Linked DNA regions of Cricetulus griseus. The protein of the gene in region 2 interacts with the protein of the main gene of each other region in a pairwise test. Links are inferred from orthologs where the notes say so. Each region holds a gene or a part of one and is shown on either strand. Other genes may lie near its edges.

The links.
Region 1: the proteins of Sgta (region 2) and Pbxip1 interact in binary tests that used the Homo sapiens proteins (3 or more experiments, as listed by UniProt). The two-hybrid records come from large-scale screens. The link is inferred for Cricetulus griseus from reciprocal best matches to the Homo sapiens genes SGTA and PBXIP1.
Region 3: the proteins of Sgta (region 2) and Csf1 interact in binary tests that used the Homo sapiens proteins (3 or more experiments, as listed by UniProt). The two-hybrid records come from large-scale screens. The link is inferred for Cricetulus griseus from reciprocal best matches to the Homo sapiens genes SGTA and CSF1.
Region 4: the proteins of Sgta (region 2) and Zg16 interact in binary tests that used the Homo sapiens proteins (3 or more experiments, as listed by UniProt). The two-hybrid records come from large-scale screens. The link is inferred for Cricetulus griseus from reciprocal best matches to the Homo sapiens genes SGTA and ZG16.
Region 5: the proteins of Sgta (region 2) and Tmub2 interact in binary tests that used the Homo sapiens proteins (3 or more experiments, as listed by UniProt). The two-hybrid records come from large-scale screens. The link is inferred for Cricetulus griseus from reciprocal best matches to the Homo sapiens genes SGTA and TMUB2.

The regions. Positions count from the first base shown.
Region 1 is NW_023276806.1:65,108,445-65,113,225, reverse strand, and holds the start of Pbxip1 (pre-B-cell leukemia transcription factor-interacting protein 1), read left to right. Parts: upstream 1-1,603; 5' UTR 1,604-1,698; intron 1,699-2,681; exon of another isoform or gene 2,682-2,758; intron 2,759-4,276; 5' UTR 4,277-4,310; coding exon 4,311-4,364; intron 4,365-4,781. UniProt on the Homo sapiens protein: Regulator of pre-B-cell leukemia transcription factors (BPXs) function. Inhibits the binding of PBX1-HOX complex to DNA and blocks the transcriptional activity of E2A-PBX1.
Region 2 is NC_048598.1:101,827,948-101,832,182, reverse strand, and holds the end of Sgta (small glutamine-rich tetratricopeptide repeat-containing protein alpha), read left to right. Parts: intron 1-504; coding exon 505-542; intron 543-1,990; coding exon 1,991-2,080; intron 2,081-2,264; coding exon 2,265-2,382; 3' UTR 2,383-2,384; intron 2,385-3,113; 3' UTR 3,114-4,108; downstream 4,109-4,235. UniProt on the Homo sapiens protein: Co-chaperone that binds misfolded and hydrophobic patches-containing client proteins in the cytosol. Mediates their targeting to the endoplasmic reticulum but also regulates their sorting to the proteasome when targeting fails.
Region 3 is NW_023276806.1:49,399,665-49,404,557, reverse strand, and holds the start of Csf1 (macrophage colony-stimulating factor 1), read right to left. Parts: upstream 3,179-4,893; 5' UTR 2,908-3,178; coding exon 2,869-2,907; intron 1-2,868. UniProt on the Homo sapiens protein: Cytokine that plays an essential role in the regulation of survival, proliferation and differentiation of hematopoietic precursor cells, especially mononuclear phagocytes, such as macrophages and monocytes.
Region 4 is NC_048596.1:73,700,380-73,704,418, forward strand, and holds Zg16 (zymogen granule membrane protein 16), read left to right. Parts: upstream 1-1,563; coding exon 1,564-1,618; intron 1,619-1,791; coding exon 1,792-1,924; intron 1,925-2,845; coding exon 2,846-3,161; downstream 3,162-4,039. UniProt on the Homo sapiens protein: May play a role in protein trafficking. May act as a linker molecule between the submembranous matrix on the luminal side of zymogen granule membrane (ZGM) and aggregated secretory proteins during granule formation in the TGN.
Region 5 is NC_048600.1:115,815,232-115,820,166, forward strand, and holds the start of Tmub2 (transmembrane and ubiquitin-like domain-containing protein 2), read right to left. Parts: upstream 3,179-4,935; 5' UTR 3,054-3,178; intron 2,545-3,053; 5' UTR 2,525-2,544; coding exon 2,490-2,524; intron 910-2,489; coding exon 349-909; intron 128-348; coding exon 1-127.

The sequences.
Region 1 (4,781 bases), on a different chromosome or scaffold from region 2:
CAGGACCTAAGAAAAAAGTTTTTCCTAAACTTAACCTTATCCTCTGCTCTGCCAACATCTTGCCAGGTCTCAGAGGCACCAGAGTTCCATACAGCCTGGGCTGTGATGAAGCAACAGTTACCCCAGGAAGCCCAGGACATGGCAGCACCCCAGCTTTCTCAGGTCCCCCAAAGATGGTCAACGCCCACTAGGTCAGCAGAAAGCATTCTTAAGAACTCTATGCCCTGCCCGGCGGTGGTGGTGCACACCTTTAATCCCAGCATTCGGGAGGCAGAGGCAGGCGGATCTCTGTGAGTTCAAGACCAGCCTGGTCTACAAGAGCTAGTTCCAGGACAGCCTCCAAAGCCACAGAGAAACCCTGTCTTGTAAAACCAAAAAAAAAAAAAAAAAAAAAAAAAAAAAAAGAACTCTACGCCCTTATTCCCTAACCTGCCATGTCTAACACCCCACCTTTTTAATAATAAGAAAAGGTGGGAATGAAAGGTGCAGGCATAAAGCTGGCCTGGCTACCTGGCAGAATCCACTCAGGCAGTACTCTGGTCAGCCCAGGGTTCCATGAGAACTAAGTCTGCAGGGAGGTGTAAAGGACCCCTTTAAAAGACAGACCCCCTGCTCACTTATGCTCTCTTCTACTACACCCTCTTGGCGCTCTCTCTCTCTCTCTCTCTCTCTCTCTCTCTCTCTCTCTCTCTCTCTCTCTCTCTCTCTCTCTCTCTCTGTGTGTGTCTCTCTGTCTCTCTCTCCTCTCTGTCTCTGTCTCTCTCTCGCTCTCTCGCTCCCCCCCCCTTAATAAACTCCATGGTTAATGTATCTCCTGGTTCACGTTCCCTAGCTCGAGTCTTTAAACAAGATCACAACACTGGCCTTAATCACCCTCTTGTTTCAGTCTCTTAGCACAGGGATTATAGCACCTCCTTTTTTTTTTTTTTTTTTTTAATGTGTTGAAGGCAGGCACGTGCACAGTGCACCTGTGGAGGTTTCACCGCACCGAGCCATCCCACTGGCTGGCCTCTCTTTGTTGTTGTTGCTGTTTGTTTGTGAGGCGGAGTCTCACTATATAGCCCTAGCTGGTCCGGAACTCACTATGTAGAACTGGCTGATCTCGAACTATAGAGATACACCTGTCTCGGCCTCCCAAGAGCTGGAGTTAAGGGCGTGCACCACCACGTTTGGCCGCCCTCCATTCCATTTTCAAAGCAGTGGCACCTTCAGTCTGCCCGCAGGAAGGCAGGAGTGCTATTTCTAAACCCACAACTAGCACCGGACCCATCCCCCATACTACAGCTGTCTCTGTCTATCCTGGGGCCAACATGGCACCTGGTCCTTGCTATCTCATCAGACAGCACCTTTCAGTTTTAGATCTTCCTATTAGACACTAAACATTTCGAAAAGGAGCGAGGTTCCCCACCTCAAAAAAAAATTAGTTTGTTGGGGATCACATTCGCCCACCAAGAGATAAACCAAGAGGGAAAGTACTGCTTACATCTTCTACCCCTACCCGCGCCCCGCCCAGGAGATCAAGTCCACCTTTTATTGGTCAAAAGTTCCCCCTACCCTCCCACCCGTGCGGAGAAGGCGACTTTTCACTGGTCAAACACCAGCCACGTGACTCCCCCCCCTTTTTTTCCCCTTCCTGGGCTGGAAACCTGGGGAGGTTGCAAGAAGTTAAACTGAAGACAGAAGCGAGAGCTGGGTCAGGTAAATCCCTAGCTGGAATGGGCCGGCAGACCCCCACTTTATCCCCCTATAAAAAAGGAGGGCAGAGCTGTATAAAAGGAGTGGGCACCCCCCCCCCGCCCCCGCCCCGGGTCCACACACTGCCTAACACAGGACCTAAGGGCGGGGAAGGAGGGAGACGGATGAATCCGAAGCAGGAACTCAGGCAAGTTCTTGTGGTCCCAGGTCCTTCCCTTTAAAGGTCAGAGAAGTCTGTTAGAGGGAAGTGTGCACCAAACCAGACTTCACAGCTTTGTGCAGAGTAGGAGCACTGTTTTTTAGAAACAGCAGGAGTCAGAGACAATCCTGACAAGATGTTGTACCCCGTTTGAGTGAAAAGGGGAGCGTAGGGAGCTGGTTTTCTTCCTAGAGGTCAAAGAGTCCTGAAAACACAGCTGAGAAGGATGGCAGCTAAGCAGCGGCACAATTTCTTAGAGGGCTTCCTAATAAGGCATCGATGTGCTAGCCTAGGAGAGCAGGGATGCGTTCTGGTAGCAGGGTTTGGGACCCTGAGTGCAGGAGTTCCAGGAAGTCCGCTGCTTAGGTTTCAGAAGGTTTGTCTTGTTGACCCAAATACCGTACCATTGCTGGTTTCCATGGAGACAGTAGGTCTGACATCACCCTGGTTGCCATGGTGCTTAGTTCTGGAGGACCTGAGCAGGCTGTAAACAGCCAGGGATGAACCGGGGACTTCTGCTCAAGCTGCTGCTGCTTCCTTCCTCCTGTCACCTGTTAACAGTCACACACAGCAGCTGGGATTGGGACAGGGCAGTAGAGGGAGGGGTGAGACCAGAGAGCTGGACAAGGATGGCTGTGTGTGTGTGTGTGTGTGTGTGTGTGTGTGTGTGTGTGTGTCACTAGAGGAAGGGGGGCGTAGGGAGGTTTTTTGGGACCTGGTATAGAGAACTTACCGAAATCATTCTGTCTCCCTGTGGGTTGGGTGCTGGTGTCTCACTGGCACTCAGAAAGACACCATTAGACGTCCTTTATCACCTATCTTGGACTTGAATCTTGACTGGCCAGAGCCACAGAAGTTTATAAGGTAACCATGAAGGGCTTAACCCTAGCTGGAGTAGATAGATAGGAAGCATTGGCTGGTTTTGAAGGTAGAACTTCCAGACTCCCCCACCCCATTTTCCCTTCTCAGTGTTCTTCAGTCATCTTCACCTTCTGCCTTTTCTGCTACCGGGGAAGGCAGTGACTTTTCTGTCTCTGACCACAGTCCAAGACTCTGTGGGTCAGCTTGTCTGTCACTCCATCCTCATGCCTGATCCCAGATGCAACTCCATAGCCCAAGGGCACAGCCTTGCTTAATGTGTGTGTGTGTGGGGGGGGGGGAGTCATACCTTAACCCTGGTTGTCCTTCAAGCTGATTAGCAAGGGACAGGACCAGAGTCCCAGTCCCCCACCCCTTTTTGTTGTAAATTGTAATGTGATTTATGGATGGTAATCGCCACAAATCCTTCTCTCCAGTCCCTGAGATCAAGATCCCTGAGATCAAACTCTGTAGAATTTACAGTGGAGAGAAAGCGAAAAGGAGCCTGACTAAATGTACACCCAGGAGGACTTAACTCTCCCAGGCCTGCTGGGCCCTGCAGTATCAGAAAGCTTCCTGCCTGGCCTGATTCCACTCACGTCAATGGCAGTCTTAACTGAGCCTTGCAAAGCCAGTGCTGAGAACCAGTAAACCAGAAGTTCTCAACCTTCCTAACGCTGTGACCCTTTAATACATACAGTTCCTCATGTTGTGGTGACCCCCAGCCATAAAGTTATTTTGTTGCTACTTCTTAAGTGTAATTTTACTACTGTATGAATGTAATATAAATAGCTGACAGAGGGGTGTGGCCCACGGGTTGAGAACCACTCGCCTAAACCAAGAGTGGAGGGTTGATGGACAGATGGGTGCTGGGACACTTGGGCCTTAAGGAGACTGGTGGGTCTTCTCTTTGGGTTCTGTGGGAGGACGCTAGGGACTATGGAGGACCCAGGTATTGTGAAAGGGACCCAGGTTATTTCCCTCTCTCCAGTCAGTCAGCCTCTCTGTGATGCCTCCCCACTGACCAGAACACCAGGGGGTTGGACTTTTCAGCCTTTGGCCTCTTTGACCTTTCAAGGTCAGTGCAGTTTCCCAAGGCCCTGTGGATCCTTGGAAGAGGCAGCTTCCCTGTGGCTTCTAGCAAGAATACTTCCAGGAAAGCATGGGATTAGGGCAGAAGGACTGAACTGGCCTGGGTTTTGGAGATTACTGCCCTGCTTTTGATGCCTGGAGTCCTACTTCTGCTGTCTGCCTCCCCTGATGGGAGTTCCCTCCCCTCTTCCTCCTCTATAAAAATTTTTATTTATTTATTTTTAAGATTTATTTTTATTTTATGTAGATTGGTGTCGTGTTTTGCCTGCATGTGTGTCTGAGTGAGGGTGTCAGATCCTCTGGAACTGGAGTTACAGACAGTTGTGAGCTGCCATGTGGGTGCTGGGAATTGAACCTTAGCCAGTGCTGTTAACTGCTGAGCCATCTCTCCAGCCCAGGGACTCCAATTCTTAAGAGAGCTTTTCCCTGCAGGTGGCCACTCTAGCAACCCTGGACTGCCACAACTATGACCTCCTCCTGCCCAGACTCAGATAATAGCTGGGTGCTTGCTGGCTCTGAGGTAGGAACAGTGGGCCTGGGAACTACGTGGGAGGGGGGACTTCCACAGGAGTGGACTGCTTTGAACCGGAACCTGCAGGAATAAGGGTCCCAAATGGTGAGGTGTTTAGTGGGAGTGTCAGGGATTGAGGGATAAAGAAGACAAAAGCAATAGCTGGGACTAGGAGGTCTTGTACAAGCTGATGACTTATGCCAAATAAATTTATTAGGAAGTACAGCATCTTACATACTATCTACAAGGGAAAATGGCCAAAGTCAGCAGAGAGCTATATCAGACAACATTGGCAAAGAATACAGAATACCTCAGCCTTAGGATTGATAACCATAGTCCAGGGGGAAGAGTCATGTCACAAGAATACAACCTTGACTCCTTCGAGGAACTGGCTCTAGCCCTAGACCAACCTTTCCTAGTCTGCTC
Region 2 (4,235 bases):
AGGCTCAGCCAGCAGGGATTGGTTGAATAATGTCTTTGCTGAATGTGTCACTTCTGGGGTAGGACTGCCATAGACCACTCTGACTCTGGGCTGTGCCCTACCCTCCTGCCAGCCACACTTTGTGACTAAAGCTTTGTTTGCTCAGTCTAGGGGTCTCCAGAGGGCAAACATGGCTATTTGGGGTTGAGCAGTGGTTTTGACCCTGAAAGACTCAACTCTACTGGGCATGATGGTGCATCCCTAAGAGCCAAGCAGTGGGTTGCTGAGACAGGAGGATGGAAAAAAAGTTCCAGAGCAGTCCTAAATTATATATATATATACCCTGACACTGTCATGGCTCTGTGGTGACCTGGGCTGCATGAGGACTAGCACTGCAAATAAGGAACTCATGTCAGTGGGAGCCAATAGGAGGGAGCCAGCACAGCCACCAGGAGGTGTGTGCTTTAGGGGGGTCAGTGTGGCCAAGGCTCAGCCTCTCCTGATCTGTCTGCCTTTCCTCTTCAGGCTTCCAGCTTAATGAACAGTCCCCAACTGCAGCAGCTGTGAGTAACACTGAATACAAGGGACAGTAGTCTTCTTGCTTTTCTAATTTTTATTGTATGTGTATTGCCTGCATGTATTTCTGTTCACATGTGTGTGAGGCCCAATAAAGCCAGAACAGGGTGTCGGATGTCCAGGAACTGAAGTTATAGATGGTAGTGAGCTGTCATGCAGGTGCTCAGACAGAACCCAGGTCTTTTATGAGCAGCCAGTGTTCCAACCGTGAACCATCTCTCCATCCCTTATTATTGTTTTTTGATTTGCAAGACATGGTTTCTCTGTGGCTTTGGAGCCTATCCTGGGACTCACTCTTGTAGACCATGCTGGTCTCGAACTCACAGAGATCCACCTGGCTCTGCCTCCTGAGTGCTGGGATTAAAGGCGTGCGCCACCAATGCCCAGCTCAACATTTACCTTTTGAGGCTGGGTCCCATGAGCAGCTCCAACTGTCCTGGAATTTCTCTCTCTCTCTCTCCCTCTCTCTCTCTCTCTCTCTTTCTTTCTTTCTCCTGTAACTCTTGATGTAGACCGAATGACCTTGAACTCATGGTGCTTGATGAAGTGTGACGTGTTGCCGAGAGTTGATCTTTAACCAGGAAACCGGCTGGCATCATACACTATTGCGTTGTCATGCACCTGCTCTTTAAATTCTATTTAAAGAGCTTTCCATCCCCGTGAGCCATCACCCCGTTCCCTCCCCAAAGCTCAGCACCCACAAATTTACCTCCCATCTCTATGTTGGCCTTTTGTGGACATTTCCCACCATAGAGTCTTTTTTTTTAAAAGGTATATATGTACAGTATTCTGTCTGCCTACATGCCTGCAGGCCAGAAGAGGGCACCAGATCTCATAACGGAAGGTTGTGAGTCACCACATGGTCGCTGGGAATTGAACTCAGAACCTCTGGAAGCACAGTCAGTGCTTTTAACCCCTCAGCCATCTCTCTAACCCCTCCCATCATAGAGTCTTATTTGGGCCTTTCTGGTCTGGCTCTGGAATTAACATAGAGTCCTTGGGGTTCCTTTGTGCTGTGGTGTGTGCCAGAGCCTCCTATTGGGGCTGGGTGATAACTGAGCGTGTCACAAGCCATTTGTTCTGACCACTGTCAGGTGTGCTGCTGTGAGCACACCAAGTCGGAGCCCAGAGTCAGCTCTGTCTTGCTGAGGAATGGCAGGGGCTGATTTTGTACTCCAACTCCACAGGACTTTTTCACCCTTGTCACTGTGTGTGTTTCTGCTGCTGACTTGTTCTCCAGAGGGTGTCTAAGGTCTATTGCACTTCCTGTCATCTCCCTACACTGTCAGCAATGACAAACATTTGACTCAGCTTAGAGTCTGAGAGGAAGGGGACATGGGAACTGCCCTCTCACCTGACCAGGAGTTGTCTGCGGGTCCTGGGAGACAGAGGGCAGTGGCTGCCAAGGCCGTGTGCTCAGTCCTTTCTTCTGCAGGATGTCAGGCATGATCTCTGGTGGCCATAACCCCTTGGGTACCCCAGGCAGCAGTTCATCACAGAGTGACTTGGCCAGCCTCATCCAGGCGTGAGTGTTGCTGCAGGTTGTGGTGGGGTTGGGGGCAACTGGCATCCCAGGCGTGAGCAAGGGGAATAGCAGGAAGGGGGCGGGGGGCTGGCATGCACATCCCAGAGGTGAGCAGGTGGAGGGAGGCATGAGGAGGGGTCACAGCAGGAGGAGAGGGCACAGTCAGTGTCCTGGGCACCCACAGGGGCCAGCAGTTTGCACAGCAGATGCAGCAGCAGAACCCGGAGTTCGTGGAGCAGATCCGGAGCCAGGTGGTGCGCAGCCGGACACCCAGTGCCAGCCATGAGGAGCAGCAAGAGTGACGGTAAAGCCGCCGGTGCTGCCTGGGCCGACTATGGGGCAGTCCTGTCCTTGCTTGTCACTACCCATGAGAAGTCCATTTCCTGTCTCCATGGCATGGAGTGTATGTGTCCAGAGCTGCCACTGACACCTGTATAGAATCTAACTTCTGCCTTTTCGTCATTTTTTTTATCAAAGTAGTGCAGATGAACCTAGGGCCTTGTTCTCTGCAAGGGGCTACACCCTACCACGCCCTCAACCCCCTTACTGGGGGGTTCTGGGCAGGCTACACCCTGACCATGTCCCCAGCCCCCTTTTTACTCCTTTATCCATGGCGTTTGTGTATGCCTTAGGCATACACATAGCCAACCTCAGGTGCTGGCCCGGACCCCAAACTTTAGGGCTATCACTGGCCTGGGTTTCATTAAGTTCTCCAAGATCCCTACATGGCTGGCAAGTTCCCAGCTCCACCCCTGGGCTTGCAGGCACAAGCCAAAGTGCTTGACTGAAGGCATGGCTTCTGGGGACTGAAGGCAGGGCCCCAGATGTCGAAGTCAGCGCTTCACAGGCTGAGCATCCACCAGTCCCCGTGTTCATGTTTGGCTTTGGTTCAAGAGTGTTGGGTGTCAGGTGTGTGTCTCCTCAGCCACTGATGGTTTCTCGGAAGCTACAGTACCCCTGGGTGTCCTGTCTGTCCTCCCTCACTGGGCTCTAGTCTGGTCATGGCTCTCACTGTCCTGGCTTCTGTTCACAGCTCATCTGTGTGGTGATCCCATCGATCTTTGGCCTCCTGGTGTTTTAGCCTTTTCTCCGTCGGGCTGCCCAAGAAAGAGACTGGACCTGCATGTTAAGACGGACTCATCCGCTGTTTCTCTTCACCCCCACTTCCATGTTTGTATTCGTGCTGGCCCCACCCCTTCCTGGAAGAGAGTCAGCCAGACAGCTACGCACCAGCACCCATTCCTCCAGCACCTAGGGAAGCTGAGGGGTGGGGGACACAGGGATCCACGGGGCATAGCCTGGGTCTTTGGGTCTCAAGCCCCACCCCGCCTGGTTAAAGAGACTTGAATAGTTGACTCTCAGCCCCCTGGTAAGCATCCACTGCCAGCCCCAGCTGGGTGCCAGCGTTTTGCGCCCACACTTGGGTTGCTGGTCCTAGCAAGTGCCCCTGCCTGCCTTATCCCAGTGGCCTATGCCACACAGGAGAGGCCTGTGACTTGTGCCCCACTTGTGGACGTCCGTGTCTCCTTCCCCACCTTCCCTCCCGTCTCCACAGCCATCAGCCAGTCCTAATTTTGTGTGCAGTCCGGCTCCATTCTCAGCGTGGGCAGAAGACGTGGCCACCCTGGCCCATACTTGCCCTTCTGTCTTCAATTTCATGGGAATTCGACGTCTGCGGTTGGCAGGCAGTTTTGGAGTATTGGCCCACAGGCCATGTTCTCAGCCCCGAAACAGCCACCAGAACCATTTTTGATGAGGAGTGGCTCTGTCCAGTGAGTGAGGCCATGTGGGTATCCCCACACCCACTCTCAGCACTTGGAGATGGTGGGGAGGCGAGATGACGGGACAGCTGACCCAGCAGTGGGTCATGATGGCGTCAGACTGTGTGGCAGGTAGTGTCAGCCTGGTGTGTTATAGGTAGCCAGTAGGAAGATGGGCCCCTTGGCCAGTGCCGTCCGCTTACAGGTGGCAGCAACGCCCACCTGGGCACAGACCACCTGGGTAATAAAGAGACAAGGATGACACTTGGCCTGTGGTATCAGTCCCATTGACCTGATGACTAACATACTATAGCTTGGAGGGCCAGTCTGTCCTGGCACACAGGAGACAACAGCAAGGCCCTTCAGATATGGTTCCCATGGGGACCTCTGGGTTA
Region 3 (4,893 bases), on a different chromosome or scaffold from region 2:
AGCCATATCAGCCAGGCGTTGGTGGCACACGCCTTTAATCCCAGCACTTGGGAGGCAGAGGCAGGCAGATCTCTGTGAGTTTGAGACCAGCCTGGTCTCCAGAGCGAGTGCCAGGATAGGCTCCAAGCTACACAGAGAAACCCTGTCTCAAACAACAACAACAACAAAACAAAAACAAACAAAAATGCTGAGCCATCTCCCCAGTCTACAGAGAATTTCTAATGATAACACTAGTGGTGTGTCAGTCTGTATACCGAGAAACTCCTTGGGGTAGAGTTTTCTGTCCTTTCAGCTTTAATGCTGAGACAAATTCCTTGCAAGCTGGCTTCAAGTTTGTGATCAGACACTACCTTTCAGACTGCAAGCCAGAAACATTGACCCTGGGTCCTGCCTCCCTTCCCACCTGGTTCCACAAGTCTGGCTCAACAGGGGGAAACACTGGGATCAAACTCCATTTCACTGGGAACACAACCCAAGTAGGAGACCTCCTGGAGCCTTGGACTTGCATTCCAATGGACTAATCAAAGATAATGCTGTGTTTCACTGATGATATTTGCCTATCTGATGGTTCATCTAGTCAGCAAACTCTTGCCACAGCAAGGAAGTTCTCTCTTTTTTGTCAGCACCCACCTGGACCAGCAGCTGCTCATCCCTAGAGTTCCTAACACTTGACTTGGTCCTTCCTTTCTCCTTTCTCCCTTCCTCCTCCCCAAGATCCTTTCATCCCTACAACTCCAATAGGGCATCTCAGGGATACCAGCCTCAGGCGGGGAGCTCTTGGGCTTCCTTCCCCTGGTCTGAGGCTGCCTCCTAGGAGCTCCTGAGCATCCTGGCAGCTGATGTCCCCAATTCAGGGAAATGCTGGCAGGGTGGAGTGATGGCTGGCACCTTCCTAGATCTGGGCTCTGCCCCAATAGTCCAGATGATGAGACAAATCCTGAAAATAGGAGCACATTGAAAAAGCACAGGGAGGCTATGAAACAGTCCACAACAACACTGGTTTAAATCTAAATGCCCAAAGCCTTGGCAGTGTGTACCAGGGAGAAAAGGCAGCATTGGCTGGCCAGTGATGAGGGAAGAGGGACTTCAGCGAGGCCTTAACGGGTGGCAGACAGAGATAGGGGTTGAGAGAAGAGGCACAGGGTTGCCCAATGCCATTAAGCATGGGGTTGGTTAGGGCCCTGGCTTCCACACTCAGAGGAAGAGTGTGGAAGAAGGTGCAGCAGCCAAGGGATGATACTGTGTTGGGCACTGTTGGGCAATTGGAAAGTTAGCCCTGAATAGCAGCATCCCAAATCTTCAGAACCTCACACTTAGGACCTAGAAAGGAAACTACTGTGCAGAAGATAACTGGCCCAAGCTGGTTGTCACTCAGGCTGGCAGCTCATGGTGTACATGGTATGGAGAAAAGGTCCTGGGCATGGAGATATTCAGGAAGACCTCAATCCTGGCACCTCAAGGCATTGATGTTTGAGGATAGCAAGGTGAAGAGATTACTCTGGGATACTTGGCTTTTGGTGGCACTTCAATCATGCACAGGAATAATGCACAGTTACCAGATAAGAGGCTAACTTCAAAGATGACCAAAGAGGGCCACTCCTAGATCTGTAACCCTAATGCTACCATAGACAAGGATACAGATGGGCACCCAAGGGTTAATACTCCAGCTTACATCTGGCTGGACAGGCTCTTCCTGGCTTGCTTCTTCCTCCCACCCACTGCTTCAGCCTCTGACTATAAGAGCAGCCCTGGAAGGAAACTGCTGCAGTCTCAGAATGCTTCAAGACATCACGTTCCATTTCCCAATCAGTAAGGTCTCTGTAGAGACCTGGCATGATTGGGCCCTCTGACTGATCTTGTCTAATTCTGGCCTTCTTTCCCCTTGTTTTCCCTTCTCATTAGCCCTTCTTTTTACTTATTGTTTGTGTTATAACCCTTCCTTCCCCTCCTCACCCCATCTCCTGCCTCTCAGGGCCCTCCCTCCCAGGGGATCTACTTTCTCTCTCAAACACCTGCAACCCTCCCCTGCCCATCAGATGTTTTGCTCTTGCCCTCTAGGCTTTCCCCATCACTCTTCTCAGAAGCAAACTGTCTTGCTGTTGGTCGGAAGTGCCACCCTGCACTCTCCAGGAGCCACAGCATCATCTACTGCCACTCATGGGGAAACTTCTGGCAACCCACCAGCAGCTCTGCATCTGTGAACTCTCATTCCACTCTCCTCAATCAGCAGTTGAGCCCAGAATAGCCCCATCTCATTGAACCAAATTTTTCTGGGTTAGCTTCAGGCCATTCCTGGGGTCCCATTCCCCTCAAACAGCCATCCAAGTCCCTAACAGCGCTTGCCCATAGACTGCAGCAAGTAACAGCATGACCATTTTTTCTTTTGACAACAGGTTGCTTAGCACAAGTCCTGGCATTCTAAAGCTGAGTGACCCTAAATTTTCCCTTCCCAGAAGGCCCACTCCCAGTTAGGGTCTAGAAACATGTGCAACAACCAGAGGAAGATGCCCACTGGGGATGATGCCACACTCTGGTCTGTCACTCGGTGCCTGGAGACGGGCCGATCATCCTGGCAGACACTGGGCCTGTGCCAATTGCTGCAAACTTCTCTCTCTCCTGCCTGTGGGTGGCTCAATTTTCTTCTCCGTTCAATGGGGTGAGCAGCCTTCCCCTTACCCCGCAAAGCGCTGTAGCCCCAAGAGCAGCTGCTGAACTACAGCGGGCCTCAGCCCTAGCGCAGAAGCGGTTAGGAAGTCTGATGCTAGGGCCGAGATGCCTGAGCTGCCGCGCCGAGCCGCCACTGCTGCAGAGCTCCCGCCCTAGCCCGGCCCGAGCGGGGCCGGGCCCCGCTCCGTGGTCGCAGCTTACCGATGAAGGGCAGCGCCCCGCGGCGCCCCGCGCGGTCATACGGGCAGCTGGGTCCCGGTCCGGCGTGTTTGCCGCTCTAGTTCGCTCGCTCCCTCGATCGCTGCTGGTTGGAGAGCTTGCACCCCGACCGAGGGCCACGCCGCTGTCCCGGGATGCAGAAAGCCGCAGCAACACGGAGAGCACCGAGGCAAACTTTCACTTTCCTCTGGCCGAGCTTAGCTGGCCAGCCCTCGGCACAGCCTTTTAAGCGGGCGGGCTGGCGGGGCATGTGGTTTATGGGAAATCACCCTGGCCCTCTGCCAGACACACACACACACACACACACACACACACACACACACACACACACACACACACACACAAACACACCACGCTCACACTCACAGGCACTGACACATACACCCCGAGGCCCACTGAGCCGCCGCCTCCCTTCCCCCAAGCGGGCGCCTGGTCGTCCCCGCTAGCTAGCTCTCTCTCTTCCCCGTCGCCTTATGGCTGTGCTAGCTCCGCAGCCTTCAGCAAAGTAACCAGGGCTCCACCGCCCTCCCCCTCCCTTCTCGAGCTCTGGACAAGAACAGCTTTTCCTTCTGTGCTCTCTACTCTTGTCAATCTCGTGTGATTGCCTTCTTTCTAATGCTGGTCCCTAGGGACTTTTCCCTCCAGGTCCGAAAATCCTCAAGGATTTTCCTGAGCAGGAAATGGACAGGATGCATTGAGAAGGACCTGAATGGGGATGGACCAACCATGGAAGTCTGGGGCCTCTCTGCTTCAGCTCCACTCAACACTCTCAAGGAGCCCAAGGCAGCAGGTTTGCAGGTTGACTTGCTCCTTCCAATGCATCCTCCAAGGAATCTGCTAAACTTCCTGCTCTCTGCTTGTGGGGAGAAGTGGGAAGCAGGGTACAGCTGGCAATCAGCTACCTGGCCAGGTGAGGAGGGGCCTATTCCTTTGACAGCTGGCTGAGTGGTTCTGTACTCTGTGCCAGGAGGTACTTCAGGTGCTTAACCCATGAATGATGCAAAGGCTGGCCGGTCCCCTGCTCCTGGGCTGCCAAACACAGCTGAAGTGGAAAGGCCAGTGCACCTGGGCCCTAGATTTTCCTAGAAGGTTTTGGAAGTGCATTATGGAGACTATCACATTTTGTCTGTATGCGAGAATGAATCTAAATGAATGAAGGGGAGCCTATTAATTATACTGCCAACATCAGGATCTTTTTCCTTCTTCTATTCGTTTAGACTTAATGTGTTTCAATCCCTCCATATCTATCTACCCCAATCTCTGATGAGTGGCCTGGTCTCAAAGAGGCATCTTTTGTCACTTGTTTCCTCTGACACGAAGGCTTCTTTCCTCCATCAATCTTAAGGAGGATGCCTCATTTTTTTTGTTTTCTTTTTATCATTTTTATTTGAATTAGAAACAAGATTGAATTACATGAAAGTCCCAGTTCCCTTCTCCCTCCCTTCCTCCCCTACCACTCCCCAACTAAAACCCTACCTACCACATACCCTTTCTTCTTTTCTTCACCTGACTCAACCTTTCTGCTCCCTCATGATCTCTGCACCCTTCCTCTTCTTCCCTTCTCATTCTCGTAGCTCCCTCCCCCCTCTTCCCATGCTCTCAATTTGTTCAGGGGATTGTGACCCTTTCCCCTTCTCCAGTGGACAATGTTTGTCTCTTTTAGAGTTCTCCTTGTTTACTGGTTTCTCTGGCAGTGTGGATTGGAGGCTGGTAATCCTTTACTCTATGTCTAAAATCCACATATGAGTGAGTACATATCATGTTTGTCTTTTTGTGATTGGGTTACCTCACTCAGAATGGTTTCTTCTAGTTCCATCCATTTTCCTGCAAATTTCAAGATTCCATTGTTTTTTTTTTCTGCTGAGTAGTACTCCATTGTGTAAATGTACCACATTTTCTCTATCCATTCTTCAGTTGAGGGGCATCTAGGCTGCTTCCAGTTTCTGGCTATTACAAATAGTGCTGCTATGAACATCGTTGAACAGATGTCCTTGTTATATGAATGTG
Region 4 (4,039 bases), on a different chromosome or scaffold from region 2:
AGATGTGAGCATACAGGACAGACAACCCAGGCACAGCAAAATATTAACCACAGCACACTTTGTGATATAAGTGTTGGCTATACAATTTTTTAAACTTTATGATCGTCTTTTTCATAATAAAATGTCAACAAGTAGAGAAAAATTGTCAAGCAAATATTTGGCACCACTCAATGTGTTAAAAGTGCTTTTATATTCTGGGAGAAGACCTATTACAAACACCTGGAGAGCGCAACATTTACCCAACAGAAGGCAGGTCTCAGGCAAGAATACCTTCAGATCATTTAGGGTAGGGAGAACATTCCTCCAGGCCTCTAGGATTACATTCTCATTTGCTTGTCTGTGTTTTCAGACAGGGTCTCATACTGTAGCCCAGACTGGCCTTGAACTCATGATCCTCTTGCCTCGCCCCAAATGTTGGTGTTACACACATGAGCCACCATGTCTGAATTAATTATTCTCTTTAGATTCTAGCTGCTTTTCCTGCCCTTCAGTTGGACTTTAAGAAAATTTATTACATCTCTTCACAAATCTGCACTTTGTCTAGAGTGGACCCCACCTTGCCACCTGTAACCGTAGCGGGAGAGGCGGGATAAGGTGTTCCAGACCCTGCTCAACACCTGACCCTAGGAGGTTGGTCATGTTTGCTCAGCAGGTGAGGTTCACATAATAAAGAACAGTGGGAGGGCTTGGACCTGGTATAAAAGGTCTGGGAATTTCTAGAAGATTTGCACCTGAAACTGCTAGGGGAAAGGTGAGTTGGGGGAAGACCTCCAAATCTGAGCTAGGAAAGACAATGCCTGGACTGTAGCAGGGCAGACGCAGGCAGCAGCTCCTGGATGGGAGCTATTTTGGGGTGCAAAGGTGTCTGGTTTTGGCTAAGGGGGGTGAATATGGACAGGCTTAGCTGTGGGAGACAGGGTTATGACACACAGACAAGTTGCTTGAGAACTGATGTCTGAGCTCGTGCAAGCTGCTCCTAAAATCTCTTCGCCTCGCTCAGTTCCGCCAGTGCTCCCTGGACATTGGCGAACTGTCTTCTATTGTCCTTTGCTCTTGAGGTGATACAGAGGCACCTTGAAAATGTTCTTTGCCTTGATTTAAGAGTAGAGTGATGCTAGAGCTTTAACTGTGCCTCAGACAGCTCATCAACCATTTGATTTCAGGGAGGTTTTGCTCTGATTCTTGGATCATCAGTTCAACTGCCTCAATATTTTGGGGGTGACCTTTACTTCCTCTTCAGAAAACTCTCTCGTGCTTTGTGCCTGCATGAAGGGAGGCTTGACTCAGTTTAACACAGACGGAAAGTTTGGATTATCTTTTTGGATTGGGAAAGAAGGGTTAGTTAGGTACGGTCAGAACAGGGAGAACCGGAGGGATTAGGGGCCTGGAAAATAATATCTGAAAGGAACAGGACTATCCCTGGGCAGTTTTGTAGGTCTCTTAGATCTGAATTGAAATATCACCATGACATGGGTCTGTATTCCCAGCCAGAGATGCCTGGGTAAATGAAATCCAGAAAGCAATGAGCCTTCCTTTTCTCCCTCTTCCCACTGCAGCCTCAGAATGCTGGCCATCATTCTCTTAGCCCTTCTTTGTGCCTCGGCCTCTGGCAATGCCAGTAAGTGAAATGCCACTGACCTGGTAATGGGATAATGAGAAGGCAGCCCATGTACTGCTGATGCTGGTCAGGGCTGCCTGATACTGGTTTGGGGTGGTGGGGGAAATGGGGGTAGTGGAGAGCAGCTGTGCTCCCAGAGTATCTGTCCCTCCAGGCCTTTCTTTCTCCTCTAGTTCAGTCCAGGTCCTCCTCTTACAGTGGGGAGTATGGAGGTAAAGGAGGAAAGCGATTCTCTCATTCTGGCAACCAGCTGGACGGCCCCATCACTGCCATCCGTATCCGAGTCAATTCACGTTACATAGTAGGGTGAGAGTCTTCATGTTTCTGTGGTTTGGGAACTGTCTGGGACCTTACTAGGTTGGGAAAGTCTCATTCACTCTGGATCACACCTGTTTAAATCGGTAAGTCACAGTAATGTGTTGGAACACCTGGAGTCTAGATCTGTGCTATTCTAGTCCCCTAATACACATGACCTTGGCAAGTCAACAATCACAAACTCTCAGGGGTCTCACATTACCTGGGTTGGATTTCACCTGAGGTCTAAACCTCTTTCCCATATTTCTGTCGGGCATACTTTACCTGTGCTTGTTGTCTGTCCTGGGGTAGTCCCATCCCTTCCTCCAGCTGGAAACTTCCATCAAATGCAGAGCCAAATGCATTTCCTTCTAGTCTAAGTTCTGAACTGTGACACCGTGCTGGTTCGTCTCTCCTCTGTCTTGCCTGGGACACTTTCCAGTGTTTGAAAATCCTTGGGCTTCTTTGAAGTTTGTGTTGGCGGTGAGCTCAGACTCTGGCTGTCTGGGTGACTGAGTTCCACAAGCCAATATGCCAGCAAAATGAGAAGCCGAGATTCTCTGCATGGTCTTCTAAGGCTCACGCAGTCTTTGTATCTCATGGAACTTGTCACCAGTTTGAAGATACAGCATATAGACTAAGAAGATATATATATATATATATAATATATATATATATATATATAGTTTATTTTATGTTTGTGTGTGCATGATATGTGGGGGTGCCCAGGTGCCCCACCGTACATGTGGAGGCCAGAGGGAATCTTCTGTGAGTGGGTTCTCCCCCTCCACCACGTGGGACCTAGGGGTGGAACCCGTGTGGTCAGGCTTGGCAGCAGGCACCTTTACCAGCCGAGCCATCTCTCCATTCCAGTCTTGAATTGTAATAACCATGTTCCACGTGTTCCTTCTTCCTTCCCACCCCTGCCCCCAGTCTCCAGGTGCGCTATGGCACAGTGTGGAGTGAGTATGTGGGTGGCAAGCAGGGAGACCTGGAGGAGATCTTTCTGCACCCCGGGGAGTCTGTGATCCAGGTGTCTGGGAAGTACAGGTATTACCTGAAGCAGCTGATCTTCGTGACAGACAAAGGCCGCTACCTGCCTTTTGGGAAAGACTCAGGCACAAGTTTCAACGCCATTCCCTTACACCCCAACACCGTCCTTCGTTTCATTAGTGGCCGATCTGGCTCTGTCATCGATGCCATTAGCCTACACTGGGATGTCTACCCTAGCCACTGCAACACTTGCTGAAACCCACCTACTCTCTGGCAGCGGGTCTGTGTGGGTGTGAGAACCCTCTTATCACCAAGCCCCATGCAAACATGCAAATAGCTTAATAAAAGGATATGACTAAAGATGGTGTTTGTCCACATCCTAATTCTAATAAAAATGTGTGAAACTTATTTCTGGACTTTTTAAAATATTCAATTAAAAACATTTTGAGACAGGATCTCTCTACGTCCTGGAACTCACTATGTAGACCAGGCTGAACTCGCAGAGTCTGCCTGTCTCTGCCTCTGGAGTGCTGGGATAAAAGGGGTGAGCCACCATGCCTGGCTGTATCTGGCTACTGTTGAACGTTAATCTAAGGAAATGGGAGAATAAGGATGAGATGTGCTATGGGCTTTTCTTTATGCCATCAAAAAGAGACAAAATTCTGCCTGCACCAACTCTTCCCAAGGACAGCCCCTGAAAATTTTTCCTAATAGGACTTCAGAGGCTAGGGTAAGGCTTGGTTGTACCAACTTGCCAAAACTCACTCTCCAGCTCCCCTCTGCTCCTTGCCTTGGGAAACTGCTTTCCTGCCCCCAAATGTCACCTTATTCAATTGGCATGATGTCACTTGCTGTTTGTGGTGGGAGAATTCTCCTTTCTTCTTTCCAGAATCCACCTAACTTCTAAAGTTTGGCCTAAGGACTTGCCTTAGCCTCTATCTCTTCATTTGACTCCAAGCCTGGGTGTTCCTAACTTAGCTCTCTCAAAATTGAGACTCCTTTCTTGAGAAGCTACCACATTCCCAGTAGTGTGAGCACTATCATTGCTGTGTTCAAAAGAGAAAACCGCTGGGCTGGTATGGTCTACATAGAGACTTCCAGGACTACCAGGGCTGCAGAAAGAGATCCTGTCTC
Region 5 (4,935 bases), on a different chromosome or scaffold from region 2:
TGAGCGGTGGCAGTGAATCACACAGTTGTTGGTAATGTTCAGGGAACTCAGTGTGCGTGCTGGGTCCTGCAGCAGCCGACCCTGGTAGATCAGCTTCATCTGGCTCTCTTGTCCAGGGAAGTATTTGCTATAAGGATGAAAGGAAAGACTGGATAAGGAATGAGGATATAAAGGTCTGGACCAACAAAGCAGGGCATGGAAGAAACTGATGGGCTGACTATGAAGTCTCTGGCAGAGACCAGCCACTAAAATTCCTCTAGTGCTCTCAAATCTGCACCAACTTTTTTTGGGGAAACCAATGAGTGAGGCACAAATCATTAGTTACTGCTCTCTTTCCAGCCTACTCACCTCTTTAGGGTACCCACAGTGTCCTCTGGCCTGGCCACAGCCAGCTCCTCGGTGTCATTGAGGAACTTGAGCCGAACATTGATGAGGCTGGGGCTGGGAGAGAGGCAGGTGCTATCATCTAATCCCAGTGGAGCTTCTGGAGGGCTCTCCAGGCCTGCTTGTCTTTTAGGGAGGCCTTGAATATCCAGGAGATGCTCAAGGCTGGGCTCCGTATCTCCCCTAGCTCCAGGTTCCCCAGTGGAGTCTCCTCCAGTGTCACTGGTCTCTTCAGCCTTCTCATCAGTCCCCTCCGATGGATGGGGGAGTTCAGTCGGTTCTGGAGCGCCTTGGCTTACCAGCTGGTCCACATGCCCCAGGTGGAGAACAGATGGGTCGCCTGCTGACACAATGGTGCCCAGCAGTTGGTTGTTACTGCTGTCTGCTACGTAAGTAGAGAGCCAGGCTAGGACCAAGGCTAGAGTCAGCACTAACACACCTGCCACCACCATCACCTCATTACCCACACCCTCGATGAGGGTGACATCAGAGAGTTCCATGGTTTGGCTGCTGACCGGGTCCACGCTGTAGGAACAAAGGGGGATAGCATCAGCAGGGCCTGAGGGCTTATAATCAGGTTTCTGGTTTGTTTAGGTTCTGAATCATGCGGGAGAGGAAAAGGGGGGGAGGGGAGTTTGTGGTGTTTTTTAGGAGAGGCAGTCAACCTCCCTAACTGTACTAGACCCTCAATCTCAAGCTAAGGACTTACCCTTGGCCTCTATTATGAAAATCTAGCTTTCAGATTCTGCTCCCATAAAGAGCACAGGTCACCAGAAAAGCCTCATAAGCTTGTCACCAGCTGCTAGTTGCTTTTTTTTTAACTTTCAATTTTTATTTTTTTGATACATGGAGAAAGAACATTTGCTTCTTCCCTTCTTTTCAAGAAAAGGTATCTCTGTGTAACCCTGACTATCCTGACTCTAGCCTTGGTCCTAGCCTGTCTCTCTACTTACATAGCAGTTAGTAGACCAAACTAACTTCAAACTCAAGAGATCCACATGTCCCTGTCTCCTGAGTGCTGGGATCAAAGGCGTGCACCACCATACCTGCCTACGTATGTCTCTGTAAGCCTGGAGTTTCTCTAAGATTTCTAACATGGGACTAAAGCACATATGCCCTTTAAGTAGCCTCAACTGTAGTTTCAAAGAATGAAAAGATTCCTTTACAGGCATTGTGCAGCCATCCCTACCAGACTTTCATTTGATTACATCTCATACATGGCCAGAGACCCATGCATGCACAGCTGTCAAAGCCAAAATAAATACCTTGTGATATATCAAGGACAGAATCAGATCACTTCAAGTGGACAAATGTACTGGGACTATCAGCAGACACACGTCTGCTACGAAAGTGTTCTGGCAAATTCTGGGGAGCCACATGGGACAGACACCAGAAACCCTGCCCTCTTGGGTCACCATGGGCTTGGCTCACAACTGTAAAACCACTGCCCCAGCATACACTCCAGTTATCCAGAACTTGGGAGATGAAGGCAGGAGGAAGGGTTCAAGACAAGTCTCCATCACATTGCAAATTCAGCCCTAGACTGCATGAAGCAGCTTAAAAAGAAGAAGAAGAAAAAACAGCCATTGCCCAAGTAGAAATTATTTGGAAAGGTTTTCCAACGAGCTCCCACAATTCTTATTTCATTCTGTCTTGTGCTGTGAAGGTTCTCTCTCTGCAGTTTCTTAGAAAAGCATGGAGGATCTCCGCATATTCCTTGGAGTATCTTCTCTTTTCCCTGGAGAACCTACTTTCACAGCTGTCCCTGAGCAAATCCAACTGGTGATTATCGTTACCAGACTATTCTCACAGCACCCATAAAGCGTCATTACTTATAAACTGTCCATCTCTTCATTGACTTGTGGAAGAATCAAGCGCAGTTCTCTTTGTAAGAAGCTCTCAGAGCAATGCTACAGAAGCTCCTCAATATCTGTGGACATACCGACATTCGAAGTTTTTTTCCCACGGCCTTATTTAACAGATTCGCCCTGGAGTCAGGGAAACAAAGATCGCGGTCTAGTCCCTCTTCTAGCTACGTAACTTCCAACAACTTTCTCAAGCCTCAGCACTGTCATCAGTAAAGCGGGGTTTAAAATGGTACCTACCTCATAAGGTTGTTTTGAAGATGACGTGAAATCATCGAAGCAAAATAATTTAAGACTGTTCGATAAACAAATGATAGCAATTATGTCTCACTCCCACAACCAACCCCTGATGGCAAGGTTAATGTCAGGAATCGTGATTTACACAGGAGGCAACTGTGGCACAGACAGCCGGAAGCCGAGGACGCAGGGGGCCGCAGGGGGCCGCGGGGGGCGTCTGCCTGCTCCCAGGCCTCAGCTTTCTCCTCAGCCTGTGGGCGACCCTGCTGGCTGTTCCCGAGGCGAAGGCTCTGCGCCCGGGAGGTCCTTCCCTGTGGCAGCAGAGCCCATGAGCCCCCACCCCCGGCCGAAGGGCTTCCGGGTCACGGTGGCGGTGCCCAGGCCCAGCTCTCCTGCCCGGGGAAGGTTAGGGTCAGGCGAGGGGGCCACAAACCATCCACACCCCTCAAACTTCGGGGCGGGACAGAGGGACCGGGGGCGGGGCCTGAGGGCGCGGAGAGTCATGGGAAATTGGAGGGTGAGGGGGTTGGACTGGTACTATTCCTGGGTGGGGAAGGAGAGCCTCACCTGACAAAGCCAGGATAAATGTTTTGACTTCGCCAGGACAGTCTCTGCACTCGTCTTTCCGTAGGGGCCGGGGGAGGGGCTGGCAACCCGGGATTCTGTCCAGGGTCCTATCTCTTCCGGCTTTCCTCGGAAGCTGTTAACATGGGGACCGGAAGTCCCGCCTCCCCGCCTTGTACTGATGACGCAAGGCTACGTAAGGCGGACTGACGTAAACGTAACTTTGACTAAAAGGGCCAGGTTGCACAGCGGCAGGAGGGGCGGAGTCATTGTTGGCGGGATTGCGGACCTCGGGCAGTAAGGCCACGCCTCGTGGGCGTGTGCCCGGGCCGTTCAGAGGTCAGAGGCGGGGACAGGAGAGGAGGAGCGGCGCGGGGCGGTGCTTGCGGGAGGGGCGTGGTTTCGTGCCTGGACGATTGTCCTGCCCGGCTCTGCTGGTCCACCCACCTCCAGCTTTCCCTCTTTCCCTCCTTCCGGCTTCTCGAGCTCCGTAACTAAAGGGAGTCGTTACTGTTCCCCTAATGCGCACTGGACGCCAATGTAGGGATCCGGAAGGTCTAGTATTTCGGATTTTTAAGAAAGTTGTTACTGGAGAAGACAGGCAAGAAGACAATTATAGTCTTAAATACTATATAGTGTGGAGCTTTGATAAATAAAGCGGGAAGGCATGTCAGAGAGACATAGATATAGTGCTCTCTTAAAAAGTGATTTGCTTTGATTTATGTGTCTGAAAGTGTATGCCACGTGTGTGTGGTTGCTTGCAGAGGCCACAAGAGGGCACTGGATTCCCTGGAGCTAGAACTGGGAAGAGAGCTCAGATCAGAAAAGAACAGCAAGTGCTCTTAGCCTTTGAACCCTCTCTCCAAGTCTATCACCCTGGATTAACTTTTCCCTTTTTTCTGTTAACTACTCAGTAGAACAGTGGTTCTCAAACTCTGGGTCGCGACCCCTTGGGGTTCCAACGACCTTTTCACAGGGGTTGGATATCAGGTATCCTGCATATCAGATCTTTATATTGCTATTCCAAAAAGTAGAAAATTATAGCTATGAAGTAACAGCGAAAATAATGTTATGGTTGGAGGTCATCCCAACATGAGGAACTGTATTAAAGGGTCGAAGCATTAGGTCACTTTAGAACCATTGTAGCAGAGGAAGACCGTGAACTTCTGATCTTCCTGTCTCTGCCTCCTAAGTGCTGGGATTACAGGCAGGCACCACTGTGAATTTAACTCAGTGTTTACATGGATCTTAACTTGTTGGCCATTTTTTAAATGAAAAAAAAATTTGGAGGGGTTTTCAAGACAGGGTTTCTTTTGTAGCCCTGCTTGTCCTGGAACTCACTCTGTAGGCCAGGCTGGACTTGAACTCACAGAGATCTGTCTGCCTCTGCCTCCCAAGTGCTGGAATCAAAAGTGTGCACCATCATGCCCTGCTGGTCTATTATTATTATTATTATTTTATTTCATCTGGGTGCTAAGGATCAAATTAAGGCCTCATACTTCCACTTACCAAATGAACCATCTTCCCAGCCCTTAGGATGACTGCAAATAACTTTCTTTTCTTTCTTTTTTTTTTTTTTTTTTTGTTTTGTTTTTTTCAAGACAGGGTTTCTCTGTGGCTTTGGACGCTGTCCTGGAACTAGCTCTTATAGAACTAGCTGGTCTCGAACTCACAGAGATCCGCCTGCCTCTGCCTCCCGAGTGCTGGGACTAAAGGCATGCACCACCACACTAGTATTTTTCTTTTACCTGTTTATTGTATAGTCTTTATAACACAAACCTAGGATTTGGGAGGATGGTTCAGTGATTGCTGCTCTTCCAAAGGATCTGAGTTTGATTCTGAAAACCACCTGTAACTGGCTCCAGGGTATTCTATGCTGTCTTCT